2 linked regions of the Tribolium castaneum genome follow. Each later gene encodes a partner of the first gene's protein in a complex. Links are inferred from orthologs where the notes say so. Each region holds a gene or a part of one and is shown on either strand. Other genes may lie near its edges.

What was found. The genes of interacting proteins can lie anywhere in the genome.
Region 2: the proteins of IntS2 (region 1) and defl are in contact, whole or in part, in a cryo-EM structure (PDB 8RC4), measured with the Homo sapiens proteins. The link is inferred for Tribolium castaneum from reciprocal best matches to the Homo sapiens genes INTS2 and INTS7. Residues at the interface, in NP_065799.2 of Homo sapiens: Gln27, Lys28, Val29, Cys48, Arg51, Met52, Cys55, Ala56, Ala58, Asp59, Gln60, Ser61, Trp64, Phe92, His93, Ala186, Glu187, Pro189, Ile194, Val218, Asp220, Ser221, Asn223, Glu224, Ser259, Leu262, Lys263, Arg265, His285, Gly294; in NP_056249.1 of Homo sapiens: Leu38, Gly39, Glu40, Cys42, Glu43, Val46, Arg47, Asn77, Phe78, Leu81, Cys82, Leu84, Lys85, Gln88, Gln89, Asn114, Asp115, Pro116, Val117, Ala120, Ile121, Arg124, Val153, Glu156, Val159, Phe160, Ala163, Leu195, Lys196, Pro199.

What each region holds. Positions count from the first base shown.
Region 1 is NC_087401.1:16,826,452-16,834,174, forward strand, and holds the start of IntS2 (integrator complex subunit 2), read left to right. Parts: upstream 1-3,710; 5' UTR 3,711-3,826; coding exon 3,827-6,667; intron 6,668-7,516; coding exon 7,517-7,723. Other genes in the region: AdipoR (adiponectin receptor protein), read right to left, coding at 421-667; Arc42 (short-chain specific acyl-CoA dehydrogenase, mitochondrial), read right to left, coding at 1,216-1,829, 1,878-2,058, 2,104-2,480, 2,536-2,683; RpS27 (small ribosomal subunit protein eS27-like), read left to right, coding at 3,036-3,290. UniProt on the Homo sapiens protein: Component of the integrator complex, a multiprotein complex that terminates RNA polymerase II (Pol II) transcription in the promoter-proximal region of genes.
Region 2 is NC_087397.1:6,154,699-6,162,441, forward strand, and holds the start of defl (integrator complex subunit 7), read right to left. Parts: upstream 3,988-7,743; 5' UTR 3,793-3,987; intron 3,738-3,792; 5' UTR 3,726-3,737; coding exon 3,635-3,725; intron 3,589-3,634; coding exon 3,459-3,588; intron 3,411-3,458; coding exon 3,126-3,410; intron 3,080-3,125; coding exon 2,833-3,079; intron 2,785-2,832; coding exon 2,604-2,784; intron 2,555-2,603; coding exon 2,398-2,554; intron 1,291-2,397; coding exon 1,073-1,290; intron 1,022-1,072; coding exon 540-1,021; intron 491-539; coding exon 192-490; intron 135-191; coding exon 1-134. UniProt on the Homo sapiens protein: Component of the integrator complex, a multiprotein complex that terminates RNA polymerase II (Pol II) transcription in the promoter-proximal region of genes.

The sequences.
Region 1 (7,723 bases):
ATTTACAATAGAATTTTAATATTGAAGCACAAAGCGAAGCTGAGAGCTTACTTGAAACAATATTTATTTTATTTATATACCAAAAAGATAAAGAAATGTACCGGGTGGCCATAAAAGATTGTGGCAAAAAATATACATCTGACATTTAAATTTTGCATCATTGTTGCCAATAAAAATTATGACCAACCTGACAAGAATCATCGGGACTTGGGTTTATTTATACACAACAAAATCCCCAAAATTTGATTAGTTTGCGTCAAAACTTCGGTTTTAATCACAATTGTGATAATACAAGTGTGACCTTGGCCATCAATCTAGTTGGCAATTCGTGGCCTCCTTCAATTACAATAAATGTCAAAATAATTGCATTACATTTACCAAGCCTACTAAGCCAAATAAAAAAAATATAAACTACTGTACCTGTACCTAAAACGGCGGCTTTCAAGACATCGCTCATCTCCGAATCGAGCATATTTTCGTCTTCGGGGGTGGAGGGCAGGGGGCACCCCACACAATCCTCCTCAACCAGCGAATTAACATCATCGTCTAGCAGTTCCTTGATTTCCGAAGTGATCGATTCGGTCTCAGGGTCCCAGATCCTCCGCTTACGCACCCCCATATCGGCGGCTATGTCAATGGAGTCTTCGGCATCACTATAGTGCGACATTGTCCCCAAATCACAGCTGGAAGAAAACTGAGCGTTTTTGTGCGATAATCACACGTGTGAGTGCCCGAACAAAGGTCAATTTCGGTCAACCTTTGATATACCGGAGAAAGTGCGAATTTTCGCAAAAGGGGGCACACAGGGGGCAACTTACCCGGTTTCTGGGGGGCTTACCTCCTTGAACACACGGTTTTCAGTAAACAGACACTGGAAATTTGTTAAATGGTTTGACAAGTGGCAAAATCAGCTGTGTGTGGAGGCTTGGTTACAAAACTGGGGTTTTTGGCCAGGGGTTGGCAACGAATTTGAAATAATTCTACATTTTTTGCGGATTTAAGCCCCCCAAACCCATAAAACGCGGCACTCACTAACGCATTACGTTGCTCACTTGTGGGGGCACACGATCCTGGCCCCGTTAACGCCAAATAACACATTTTTTTACTGTGAGGTTATGTGACCAAAATTGGGGTATTAAGCCAATAAAACGCTCAATTAGGGCTTAAAAAATATATTGACACACGATACAGTACAGTACAAAACGATAAATCAGGTTATAGTCCCAACTCCTTGATCAAATTCCCTGCGATTACAAGTCGCTGTATTTCGCTTGTGCCTTCGTAAATTTCGGTGATTCTGGCGTCCCGATAGTGCCTTTCGGCCGGCATGTCCGAGACGTAGCCCATGCCCCCCAAAATTTGTATACACTGGTGGCTCAAATAAGTCGCAGCTTCGCTGGCCGCCAGCTTGGCCATGGCAGCCTCCTTGGTGAAGTTCTTGTGGTTGTCTTTAAGCCAGGCAGCCCTCCATGTCAAAAGCCGTGCCGCGTCCAAACGCAAGGCCATTTCGGCCAATTTATTTTGAATTGTTTGGAGCTTAAGGAGGGGCTTTCCGAAGGCCATCCGTTTGGAGGCGTATTCGGCAGCCACCTCGAGGGAGGCCTGGGCGATGCCTAGGGCCTGCGAGGCAATGCCGATACGGCCCGCATCCAGTGTCATCATCGCGATCTTGAAACCTTGTCCAGGTTCCCCCAAAAGGTTGGCTTTGGGGACTTGGCAGTCTTCGAAGATGAGGGAGCACGTGGAGGAGCCCCGAATCCCCAACTTGTCCTCCTTTTTGCCCAGTTCGAGCCCCTTTGTTGGCTTGGGGACGATTATCGCCGAAATGCCTGAATAAAAAATTAGAGTGGTTATGCAACCAATTATACAACCCGCACCTTTATGTTTTAAACTTTTGTCTGTTGTGGCCAAAACCACGGCTGCTTCACTCTCAAAGCCGTTAGTGATCCAGGCCTTGGTCCCATTGAGCATCCACTGGTCCCCGTCCAGCCTCGCCGTCGTGGAGGCAGCCCCCGCATCGGACCCGTTCCCCGGCTCGGACAGGGCAAAGCACCCCACCTGTAACACCAAATGAGCCCCTTTGCCTCAACTAACACAACACACCTTATCGCCGTTCGTAAACGGCGCGATAAATTTCTCCTTCTGTTCTTTATTTCCGAAATATTGAATCGGCCCTAAATACAACGAATTATTAACAGACATAATAACACCGGCACTGGCGCACCCTCTGGAAATCTCCTCCATGGCGATGGCGTACGCCACGTAATCTAGGCCCGTGCCCCCGAATTCTTCAGGGACGGCCACGGCCATGAGCCCCAATTCGCCCATTTTGCGGATCTGTTCTTTGGGGTACAGGTGCTCACGGTCGATTTTCGCCGCGATGGGCTTTAGCTCGTTGTCGGCAAAGTCGCGACAGGTCTTTTGCAACATTTGGTGCGTCTCAGAGAGGGCTGCCAGGGAGGCTATGCCCCGCGATTTGACTGCAATCAAGACGGCCGTGGATAAACAAATTTAGACGAATTAGGTAAAAATTACCATTTTGGGCCACAATTCGCGTGAAAACGAACATGATGTACTGTAAACTACACGGACGTGTACTTTGCTCGTTGATTATTAAATTGTTTAGTAAAAATTCCGTAAGTGGTTCCAAGGTTAGGTCAGCTGTCAAAACTGACAGCTGCATTTTTTACGAATTAATGGGCCCCCATTAAAGTCAGAGCCACGTTTTTATTGAGTCCAAGGGGCGCACGGTTAAATGGTCAATCAATAATTTATTTATTTATCAATTAAGGCGGGTTCTTTCGGCTCGTTGTGTTGGTAAGACGGCGTTATGGTGGTACCGCCTGTCATCTGTCACTTTCCTTTACACGGTTGATAGCCGAAGTCACCACGTGCGTTGTGGAAAAAATCAGCCTTTTTGAGTGTCCCAAGCGTTTAAAAACGTACGTAAAAGCGTAAAACGACCAAAAACATGCCTAGTCAAGTGTTTGTGGTGAAATTTTGGCGTATTTTGAGCAATGTTTGTGTTTTTCCAGATGCCGTTAGCAGTCGATTTATTGCACCCTTCTGCCGAAAAACAGAAGAAATCGCATAAGAAGAAGAGGTTGGTGCAACATCCCAATAGTTACTTCATGGACGTAAAATGTCCAGGATGTTACGCCATCTCTACCATCTTCTCCCATGCCCAGTCTGCAGTCCCCTGCAAAGGGTGCTCCACCATCCTGTGCACATCCACCGGGGGCAAAGCCCGACTCACGGAGGGCTGCAGCTTCAGGAGAAAGCAACATTAATGTAGTGTATTCATTTTTTCTAATAAATTTTATTGGGAGTAGCCGCTTTTTCATTCATCCTTCCAGCCACCGAATGGCCTTATTATCTCTTACACGCAAAAAAGGGAAAATGTAGCAAAATTGTGCAATGTTCTAGCGCCCGGAAATTGGCCTAGTGCCAAAAAATCAATAAACACAAGACCAAAAACCAAAAAGTCGTCGCAATCTATTCATTCAACCATGTCATTTGGCCCCAAATCCACAAAAAAAATAACTGCAGGTTCAGACCAGTTGAGACACGTTAGGCCAGTTGACACTTGTCAAAAAACATAACCACACTTATCAATTAATTAACGACTATCCAAGCCGTAGAATGCCCCCAAAGGGCGCAATTAAAGCCAAAACCCCTCAACCAGCCTCAATAAATAAAACAATCAAGTATTAATTATCGTTTTATTCAAAATCGTGGTCAAGCCGGAGCCGGTAAAGTAGATCGCTGTCGCGAGAGCGCACATAACCCCAAAAGTGCCGTAAACAAAGCCGGTTTGTGCGTGAAAATGTCGTTTAAGAAAGGCGTGGACCCCAAGGTGTTCCGCGCCATCCAAAACGTGGACATGCACCAGCTGTCCGAATGCACCGAGGTGGAGATCCGCCCCGTGTTGCCCTGTCTCGTGCGAATGGGGCTCATCTCGCCCCTCGACACGTCGAAAAAATGCACCACCATGAAGGTCGACATTCTCACAATCGTGTCCGGGATGGAACTGGTCAATTCGATCGTTGCCCTTCTTTCCATCGATTTCCATCGACTGGAAACCGAGGTCAAGAAGGAGCAGCAGCTGCGCCAGAAGGGCGTAGCCCTCCAGAACGACTCGATCCTGATCGGCAACTTATCAAACACCAGCATGGCCTTGGAGTACGAACGCAGCGACATGACCCGCCGTTTGAGCATCTTACTCGGGGAACTACTCTACGTCCAGAGCCAAATCCAGGACGAAAACTCGGACACGAGCTACATCAAGCCCTCGGAACTGTTCGACAACGACATTTTCGCCGAGGAATTGTCCGATATTATCTGCATAGCCTTGGCTGAACTCCCCATAACTCTAAACATTTTGACAATCACTGAAACCCTCCTCCACTTGCACAACGGCCCGCCCATCATTTGCCGAATCGTGGCGAACTTCCCCGACTGCTTCCGAGAGGTTTGCACCTACTTGATCCAAACGGGGGAAAAACAGGAAGAAACCAAACTGAGCACAGTCCGAGCCGCCACGATTTCCCTCCTCTGTAAAATGAATCCGAGCCAGGCTTTGACAATCCGAAGCAAGTGCGTCGAATTGTGCCGAATGCCCGCGCTCGCAATCACACTATCTCTGGACGGCGGGGAGGGGGACATGGTGGCGTTCATCTCCGGGCTGTTGCTAGGCAACGACCAAACAATACGCAACTGGATCGCGTTATTTATCCGGACTGGACAGAAAAAGAAGGGGGAGATTTCAAGCACCGCCCTTTTGCAACTAAGGGAGGAGTTGTTACGTCGCTTGCACGTGATTCTCGCCGCTTCTGTCGAAGGCCACCTATTGGACAGTCTCGTGGTTCAAGGCTCCGCCCTCTTGCGCCTCTATTGTGCGCTTCGCGGGATCGCAGCAATCAAGTTTCAGGAGGATGAAGTCACGGCATTGGTGCGTCTGTTGACGTCACACCCAAGCCCCACCCCGGCGGGCGTTCGCTTCGTTTCCATTGGTCTGTGCATGTTGATTGCCTGCCCCTCGCTGATTTCGCTGCAAGAGCACGAGCGACGTAGCATCGAGTGGGTGCAATGGTTGGTGAAGGAGGAGGCGTATTTTGAGTCGGCCAGTGGCGTTACTGCCAGTTTTGGCGAAATGTTACTACTGATGGCTATACATTTTCATAGTAACCAGTTGAGTGCCATCTGTGATTTGGTGTGTGCCACTTTGGGGATGAAAATCCCCATCAGACATAACAACATGACAAGGATGAAGCAAGTCTTCACGCAGGAGATTTTCACGGAACAAGTTGTAACCGCACATGCGGTTAAGGTTCCGGTTACGAACTCGTTAAGTGCGAATATGACCGGGTTTTTACCCATACATTGCATCCATCAGTTGCTTAAATCGCGCGCGTTTGCCAAACACAACGTGAATATAAAAAACTGGATCTATAAGCAGATCTGTACGAGTGTTAGTCCCTTACATCCAGTGTTGCCAATGCTAGTGGAAGTGTACGTTAACAGTGTTATAATGCCAACCTCACGGAACACTGAGACTAATAAGCCGTTGAGTGAGAATGAGATACGGCGCGTGTTTCAAAGTTCGATCTTTGGACAGTATTTCGACCACAAAAAGTCGATTTTTACCATGGATTTTGACCTAAATAGTGAGAATCAGGACGTTGTGGTGGATGGTACAAGTCTCACCCCACAACTCCTCCTCCTCTACTATCTCCTCCTGTACGAGGACTGTCGATTGGTTAACGCCCACATTTTGGCCGCGTTTAACCGCAAAATCAAGTTGTATAGTTCCGAATTTTTATCGGAACTACCAATCAAATACTTGCTACACCACGCCCAAAAAGACCAAAGCTCCTATTCGGGTCTTTTCGGGCCGTTGCTCAAACTCCTAGCTACGCATTTCCCCCACTTGACACTAGTGGAGGATTGGTTGGACGATATGTCCATCAAAACGGAGCATAAGCCAACCCACGTGACGCAAATAAGCGTCATTGAGGCTTTCAATGACTTGGACACTAACCCATCAAAGTGTGCCAAGCTTATGCAAACTTTACTCAAACAGCAAGCCATAGATATATGGCCATTTGCCGAGATTTTCACACAATTCGCCCGCAAGATCCTAAATGACAATGTCCCACGCTACTTACAAGACCTGTACAGAGACGTATGGTTACGCTTTAATACGGTACTTCCCCGCCGATTGTGGGTTCTAACCGTCAAAAACCTAGTCGATGATTTCTCAAACCTGACACGAATCGATGTCGCTGAGGATCCTCTCCAGATCATGCGATGCGATGAGCGTGTTTTTCGCTGTGCCCCTTTATATGCGATTGTTTTGAGGGTGTTGAGAGCAAGTCTCGCGTCGTCTCGCAGCCAACTAATGCAACATTTGCAAGCTAATCCGAGATTGGATCATGCGGGGCAAGTTTTAAATGAGAGTGATAGAGAGGAGATGTGTCGGGCGACCATTGCAGCACAGGAAAGTGCAGCTGTTCAAATGCTACTAGAAACTTGTATTGAGACAGATGAGGATCGTACGATTGGGGGGCAAAAGTGGGCACTTCAGGAAGTTAGGTCGTTGGTTTGTAGTTATCTACACCAGGTTTTTATCGCGGATACGATGTTGGCCAAACTGGTACACTTTCAGGTGAGTGATTGTGTACATCGCACTCGATATGGAATACACAGCGTGTTTCGTCTAAACCCCAAAGTTCTAATAAAGATATTTATCTGAAAGTTGGTACTCGGCCAAAATCCGTTGAGTTCAGTTGAAATGAAAATCTTGAAAATATTTTCAAGATGGTGGCACTTTTGGTTATACCGGAAGTTACTACTAACTTTCTTATTTTAAATGGAAATCTATGTTTTTTATTGCGTTTTTGGATTAGTTGAGTTATTTTAAGGCCGTTTTTATCAGCTTTCCCTATACCTAAGTTTAACCGTTTTCGAGATATTTAAGATTTTTTGAAAATTTTTGGATTTGCACCTGTCACTTAAAAAGTCGGTAACTCTTTTAGTTTTGAAGATTTAGAAAAAATGTTTGGAGAATTAAAAGACAAGGCTTACATCTGTCCTCCGGTGTGTTCAGAATTGGAAAAGAAGTTAACAAACCCAAAAATTTTAAGCTTAAGTTTGGACAACTTCAAGTACCCGTAACTTAATTTTTTCAAATGGGATGTCCTAATTTTTATTTTACTAGATGGAGGAGAATTTTTTTCTGCATCGATCTGTATTAGCATTCCCTATACCTATCTGTGATAATTTTCGATTTATGTTGGTTTTTTTGACATTGTAGAAAGTTTCTTACTAACCACAGCTATTTTTGCTCAAAATTCTGTTGTCCTTAAACCCATAGACCAAGCTCTTTACATCGCGCTCGATATGGAATATATTATTATGTTAAGACCAATAATTTAATTCGCACGTGTGAATTTAAATAATCATATTTATTGTGTTATTACTATATATTTAATATAGTTTTTGACGTTTATTTCAGGGCTATCCAAGCGAGCTGATCGAGGTGATGGTCAAAGGCGTGCCCTCCATGCACATCTGTTTGGATTTTTTGCAAGAATTAATGCAACAGCCAAGTCTCGATAAACAAATTTTTGCGATACAGTTGTTATCACACTTGTGCATACAATACGCGCTGCCCAAAAGTTTAAATTTATGTGTGGCAGCACTGAATCTACTTTACGCCCTA
Region 2 (7,743 bases), on another chromosome or scaffold:
AAGCTTTTGTCAACTGTTGCGATTCGAGACGTGTTTCACGCGATCCGAATTCAATCGGATCGTCACGGATTTTTGATCCGTTGACACAAATACTTTCCACGCTTTGCTCCACAAGCACACACATTTGTTGCAAACTGCAAAAACACACGTTAAAAATAACTAAATGTACAGAAAAAAACAAACGAACACACATTTGCATATTTTCTAAGGTGGCAGGGTCAGCGTCGAACGCAGTTTGGTACAGCTTCCAGTAGAGGTCGCCACAATTTTTAAACTCTTTCACACACTTTCTCAACTGATTCGTGATATATCCGTGTCTTTGATACTCATCTCGCGTGTTTTGGACGATAGTAGCGGCAATCGCAGGCGGCGGGACTATACACAGGGTGTTGCAAGTATAAATGAGTTGGATCAAAGACTGGAGAAACTCTGTACGGATTCGCATATACTCCGCTTGGAATTGTAAATTATGTGAGGGGGTACTAGCCGCCTGAAACAGTGCGTAACAATCACAAACCAAAAGTCGGTAAAACAGGAACCTTCAAAGCCGCGATGGCTTTATTGTAATGTATGATCGCCCGTTCCAAGCGATTTACCAAACTATCGTCCGAAGTGAGTAAAAACGACTCGGCTTCCGACATTTCCTTCAAACAAACCAACCAGAAATGGAAATGTTCAGAACTGACTTGTTCCGTCAGTTGGTTGAAAATCGTATTTGCGATTTTGTGGTGGCCGTATCTGACCGCAGCCCGCGCTATGCAATAATTCGCCCACAGATTGTTATTTTCAATAACGCAAAAAATCGCACTTTCGGTTTCTTCGTTCCAGGTGTAGTCAGACATGCTTTGGAAAACCAGCGTACAAAGCATGATTTTGATGCGCGTTTGTTGCTCCGTTGGTTGGTCGATTTCGGATAAAGCGCGCAATAAGTTGAGAATACTGGCGAGAAGCGAGAGTAAAGTGTCGGGTTTGAGGCCCCCAATAGCCCCCAAAGTCTCACAGATGACGATGGTACAGTCGTCTGTAAAAAATCGATTTGATTTGTTCTTGAACCATAATTGAAATAACATACTGTGTATGTTGTCGAGGCGAGTGCCGAGCAGTTCCACAAACGTCTCGCAATATTCTCTCCGCGCTTCGCACAGTCGAACAGCACATTTCAGTGCCAGCTTGAGCTGTTTTGGGTGTTTGTCGTTCGAAAAAGTCAAAAGCAAAATTAAAGTTTCGAGGGCCGAAATCACTTCGTCCGCTCTTTCAGTCTCCAGTTTCTCCTTGTAGCTAAAAATACGACTGTTTTTTGTTCTTCCTGGGTAACGGAGGACTAAACTATTAGGGGGCGACAGGTGTAAAAGTCAGTTTTAAAATTTTGCACAATAAAACGACAATTTAATTTGAAGCAAGAATCAAATAATTAAAAAAAAATACAGAAAAATTGCCTTTATTTTAAATGTGTATTAGAATAGTGTAATTACAAATACTTATTAAGATTTCGTTAAAATGGTTTCTCTGGAATTTTTGCTCAACAAATAAGTTTTAACAAAAAAAAAGTGACGTAGGCGTAACAAAAATCAGTGAATCAGACAAACTTCTTTGTTTTCCACCTCGTAATAATTAGTTATCTCAAATAGTATATTTTGTACTGGTAACGTGTTATCCATATTCTTACACAATTCGTTGGCTAGTGTGTGTTGATTGTGGTTAGTGTATGCTACTGGATAGGATTTCAAGGGAGAAAAAAAGGAAACAATCCGGATTTAGGGGTCAGTCTTTAGTTTTTTCTTTTTAGAAAGATTACATTATTATCTAAAAATTTAATGGCACATTTCCAATCTCTAATAAGAGTTGAAAATACCTTTATTTGAGGTATTTTGAAGAGTTGTCTGTACCATGTGATCATTTGAATTTATTAGTTTTATAATTTGTATGAAAACGCTAATTAACATAATTAAAATCAAGCTGAAAAGTCAAAGTGAGTCAAATAAAACACTAAAAGGTGTCTCTGGTTAAATAAAAATTGACCTGTCTCGGGATGTTTTAATTTTTTGTTTATTTTCTGATACTCAGGGCAGCTCGTTTTTTAAAAATCACACTGTATATGGTATTATTAACACCTTGTACTTATTTTATTTTTTATTTATAGATTTATCATCTCCTTAGCTTCAAAAAACTTCTATAATTCTATAATTATTAATAAATAAATTACGGCGAATTCGATACTGAAATAAATATGGAACAAATTTCAAATTAAAAAAATCTCTTGTTTGGGCAAATTTTATTTGTTTCACAGCTTGCTAAAAAATTAAGTCTTAACATTCCCGCATCAAATAATTTAAGACAACGATTTTAAACATCATTTCGCCCCTTAGTTTTGCCCTCCGTACCTATGAGAAAACTCACCAGTAGCATAAAAGTTGTGTCAAAATTTGTATAGCTTGCACTGCGACTGTAGGCTGTGACGAATAACAATGTTTCATACACAATTCTCTCAATTTTGAATTGCTGTCGCGATAATCATGACACATTCGGGGCGATTCAGTCAAGACTTGAATCACACCTAATCATCAATTAATCAGTTTGCAAAACAAGACCTCAAATCGTCTTACCAAGAGCCAGGGTTAATAACCGGGCTTGATGCGTGTGTAAAGTAAAATCTATGATATTGTTGGTGGCCCCCGGGGGCCACAAATGAGCCCCCGGTTTGGCGAACTGGTACAAAAATTGCAAACATCTCGACTTGACTTCACTCCCCAAGTCTTTGCGTAAATATTGCAACAGTAAATTGACCTAAAAGACAGTTTTGGAGAATATTGGAAGACAAATTAATGAAATTACTTGACTCGGGACGTCAACTAGAGTCGCCGTTGCCAACTGGGTAAGTGTGTTTAGAGTGACCAAAACGAAGTCTTTGGCTGGATAACTTGGCAGTAAATCGATACAGAGTGTCCTCACCATCGCAGCCGTGTTGGTATCATGGTGCATGTATTGTAAAATTGGGATTAATTGTAATTTCATGCTGGCAGGCGTTGACTGGCCTTGGATCATGTCAGAGACTTTGTTGCACATGCTTACGGCGAATGTTCTACAAATTATTGTTAAAATAATGAATTCTGAGCAACTTTTACTACTTTGATTGGGCGGCAAACTGAATAGCGGCGTAAATTGCAGCTTGGACTTCCACATTATCGTGAGAATCTAGACTGCTTCTAATACTGTGGTGCACTTGCTGTCGCTCCGGAATGATGGCAGCCACGGCCCCAAACGTCCTCAGCGTCACAGCACGAGCAATAGGGTCATTACTATGAATCACACTGTAAATCCTTCTAACGAACTCATCAACACTCGAAATCTTATCTAGATGTTTTTCGCTTTGTTGGCACACACGCAACACGCACAGTCTTAGGAAATTGTTACTAAAAACAGTGCCATTAAATAGAGTTATTTACAGTAGAGAGTTGTACCCCATGCGAAAAACTTCCGCTAATTTCAGTAATGACGCATTGATGAGGATGGGGAAAGGATATTTTTCGAATAACTTTGGAAAACGAACAATTGCTTCGCATTGCTCGCCCACTTTACCGGACCGGAGCCCTAAAAAGACACTTTTAAAGAAGGCACTCAATACCGCGCTTTGAACCTTTGTCAAGCTCGGTTAAAGCCGAATTGGCGTCTTGCTCGGGCTCTCCGAGACCGTTTTCATTGAAGGCACTCACGCGGACGCTCAGCATTTTGGAAAATCGCTGGAATGTTGTTAGTAGGCAAAACAAATATAACCTGGAATTTTTTTAATCTTACGGGTGAAATATTTCACGCCAGTTGGGTCATCAACTCGTGAGAAAATTACAAAGTGGGGGCCACATCGGCATTCATGTCACAAAATCAATAAACGCGTTCAACATCCAAACTTTTATTTTTTGGTGTTTTTAGCATAGTTTTTAGGTTAGTTTAACCTATGTTGGGAACATAGAATAAGAGAGAAAAAAATGGTGCTGGCACCAAGAACATTACAGTCGACCAGACAATCGCTGCGTGCATGGAGCTAGCACCATGTCCCCACTATTCTCGTTTTCTACAGCCAAGTTCACACCAGGCAAATTATCAAAATAATTGTAAATCATTATAAAAACATCAATAAGCTGTTACGCTGACTTGCATCTCACATTTGTAGAACATCTCCTGTATTTAATTTCTGCATTTTTTATTCTCATATTCAAGCAACGCAAACTGTTTTTTTTCACCCCCTTTATATCCTGCAATTTTCTTTATTTTTGCAGGGGATTAAGCCCTTCGATAGGGCCTTCGACTGTAAAAAAATCATGTTCGGATAAAGTCCCCTTGAGATCTTAATGAATTTTTAAAAATTCTTTAAAATTTTCATATTTCGCAAACTTTATCTTTAAAAATTCATTACAGTATTCAGAATGGCCCCCGAAAAGCGAATGAGTTATTACAGAAAAGGAGGAAAATAGTAAAAATAATGAATAAGAATTTTGCAAAATGCTCTTATAGAAAAGTTGTTGTACTTTATGTTTTATTACGTGGTAAATTTAGCACACGTCAACACGCCCTTTATAAACGATTAAACACCCTTTTTAATCAAAATGTTTAACACGAAAAGTTCAATTTTGTCCTATATACATTTCAATAAATCACACTGAAGTTTAAGTCGTTGACTCAAAGGTAGATTTATCTGCCCATAATATATTCAATCAAAATTAAAAACGCTCTAAAAGAGCAGAAACGAACACGAAATCCATAAAAATGAAAGATTTAACATTTCCAAATGATAACATAACCCTACTTTTAAAACCGAATTTTCTGGAGACCTAAAATTAACACAATTTGTGGCAATACCACTAATTTTCACACCAAAATTTCATTCACCGGCTCGTTTGTACTAATGAAAAGAGGAAAATAGTGAAAATAATGAATAAAAGTTTTGCAAAATGCTTTTATAGAAAAGTTGTTGTACTTTATGTTTTATTATGTGGTAAACTTAACACACCTTAACATGCCCTTTATAAACGATTAAATACCCTTTTTAATCAAAATGTTTAACACGAAAAGTTTATTTGTGCCCTATATACATTTCAATAAATCACACTGAAGTTTATATCATTGACTCAAAGGTAGATTTATCTGCCTTTCAATTCAATTTAATAATAATTAATAACGTTCTAAAAGAGCAGAAACAGACACAAAATCCATAATAGTGAAAGATTTCATATTTCCAAATGATAACATAACCTCACTTTTAAAACTGAATTTTCTGGAGATTTAAAAACACAACTTGTGGCGATACTACTAATTTTGACACCAAAATTTCATATCACAGGTTCGTTTGTACAAAGGAAATGAGAAAAATAGTGAAAATAATGAATAAAAATTTTGCAAAATGCTTTTATAGAAAAGTTGTTGTACATTATGTTTTATTACCTGGTAAACTTAACACTCGTTAACACACCCTTTATAAACAATTAAACGCCCTTTTTTATCAAAATGTTTAACACGAAAAGTTCATTTTTGCCCTTTATACATTTCAATCTCACTGAAGTTTATGTCGTTGACTCAAGGTAGATTTGTCTGCCCACAACATATTCAGTAATAATGAATAACGCTCTAAAAGTGCCGAAAAGCACACAAAATCCATTAAAGTTATAATTTAACACTTTAGAAGAGAACATAACCCTGCTTTCTGAACTTTTGTCTCTATCTGGCAATAGCACATAAATTTTTGACGCAAGGTAGATTTTTCTGCCCTAAATATCCTATCACAACGCTCTGAAAAGGCAGAAATGGATAAAAGTGTAAATTTTGTCATTATCGGGTAACAACATAACCCTACTTTTCGAACCTACCGAATTTTCAACAAAACAACCCAAACAAACAATTTGTGGCTATACGCATTGCGATACCACTAATTTTCGCACCAAAATTGTACATTGCCAGTTTCTGTTTAAATAAAAACATGCATTTTTATTTTTCCATTAACTGCATGCGAAACTTATAATTTTAGACGTTTACAGGCAAATACATTTGACATAATTAATTTTTCTAGATTAATACTGTTCTATTTTGAATAATTCTGTGTATGAATGTCTCTAAATTTGATGGATTCTGCCAGTGAATGTTTCTGGTGACGACTATTTTAGACTTGAACATGACGTCACATTCGTGACGTGTCCCGAGGTTAGGTGTGCGGCGCAGGCGGCGAGAGCGCTTCAGTCGACAGCGAGCGGTGGCACGGGTCAGATCGGAAGCGGGAAGCAGGAGGCGAGGCGAGGTGAGGCGGTTTATTTAAATTATTGTGCCGTTTCGTTCAATTTATTCAGTTTGTTACTTGCCGTTGTCGCGAACGGACGTGTGCTCAAGCAAATCTAAATTTTTCGGTTTGAATTTTAAATTCGGTGATCGCGTTTAGTGTGTGTGTGTGTGTGTTAGTGCCAATGGAATGGACTTTAAGGAGGAAACAATCCGGATTAAAGGGTAAGTTTGCAGTGATTTATTTTTAGAAAATTAAATCAAATCTGTGATATTTTCAACTAGTAATTTAAGAGCACATTGTTCTAATTTCATTGTTTCTTCTATTGCAGTAGGTCCGTTTAAGAAGAAGATGGCATCGGAACAGAAGACAAAGGTAGGTTCTTTTTTTTTTTCATTTGCGGTTAATTTATTTTCATTGTCTTGCTACAAACGGTAGCAGACGTGCGTTTTAATATTTTTAAATGCGGTGTTCAAAAGTCATAATTTGAGTGACACGTTTTAAATTCAGTAACTATAAATAAAATAGAACACTCAAATCATTTATTGCCACGTATTAATTTTGGCTTTAATTTCAATGAATGAAAGTGGCTTGTTCAAAATTTAATGCAAATAAAATTTTTTTTTGGTTTCATTATTATTATTATTATTTTTTATGCTACAAACGGTAGCCAACGTAGAAGCGATATACAGGTACGTCCATTTTATTATTGTGTCGTATTTATTTATTTCACAAACCAATAATTTCATAAAATTTAATTGCAATTACAATGTTGTGTACACCGGCTCTAAATACGGTGTTGAAAAGTCATACTTTGAGTGACTCATTTTAAATTCAGTAACTATAAACAAAATCAAACACTCAAACAGTTTATTGCCACGTAATAATTTCGTCTTTAATTTCAATAAATGAAAGTGGCTTGCTCAAAATTTAATGCAAATAAACATTTTTTTTGGTTTCATTTTTATTATTATTATTATTATTTTTTTATGCTACAAACGGTAGCCAACGTGGAAGCGATATACAGGTACGTCCATTTTATTATTGTGTCGTATTTATTTATTTCACAAACCAATAATTTCATAAAATTTAATTGCAATTACAATGTTGTGTACACCGGTTCTAAATACGGTGTTGAAAAGTCATAGTTTGAGTGACTCATTTTAAATTCAGTAACTATAAACAAAATCAAATACTCAAACAGTATATTGCCACGTAATAATTTCGTCTTTAATTTCAATGAATGAAAGTGGCTTGCTCAAAATTTAAAGCAAATAAACGTTTTTTTTTGGGTTTCATTTTTATTATTATTATTATTTTTTTTTATGCTACAAACGGTAGCCAACGTGGAAGCGATATACAGGTACGTCCATTTTATTATTGTGTCGTATTTATTTATTTCACAAACCAATAATTTCATAAAATTTAATTGCAATTACAATGTTGTGTACACCGGCTCTAAATACGGTGTTGAAAAGTCATAC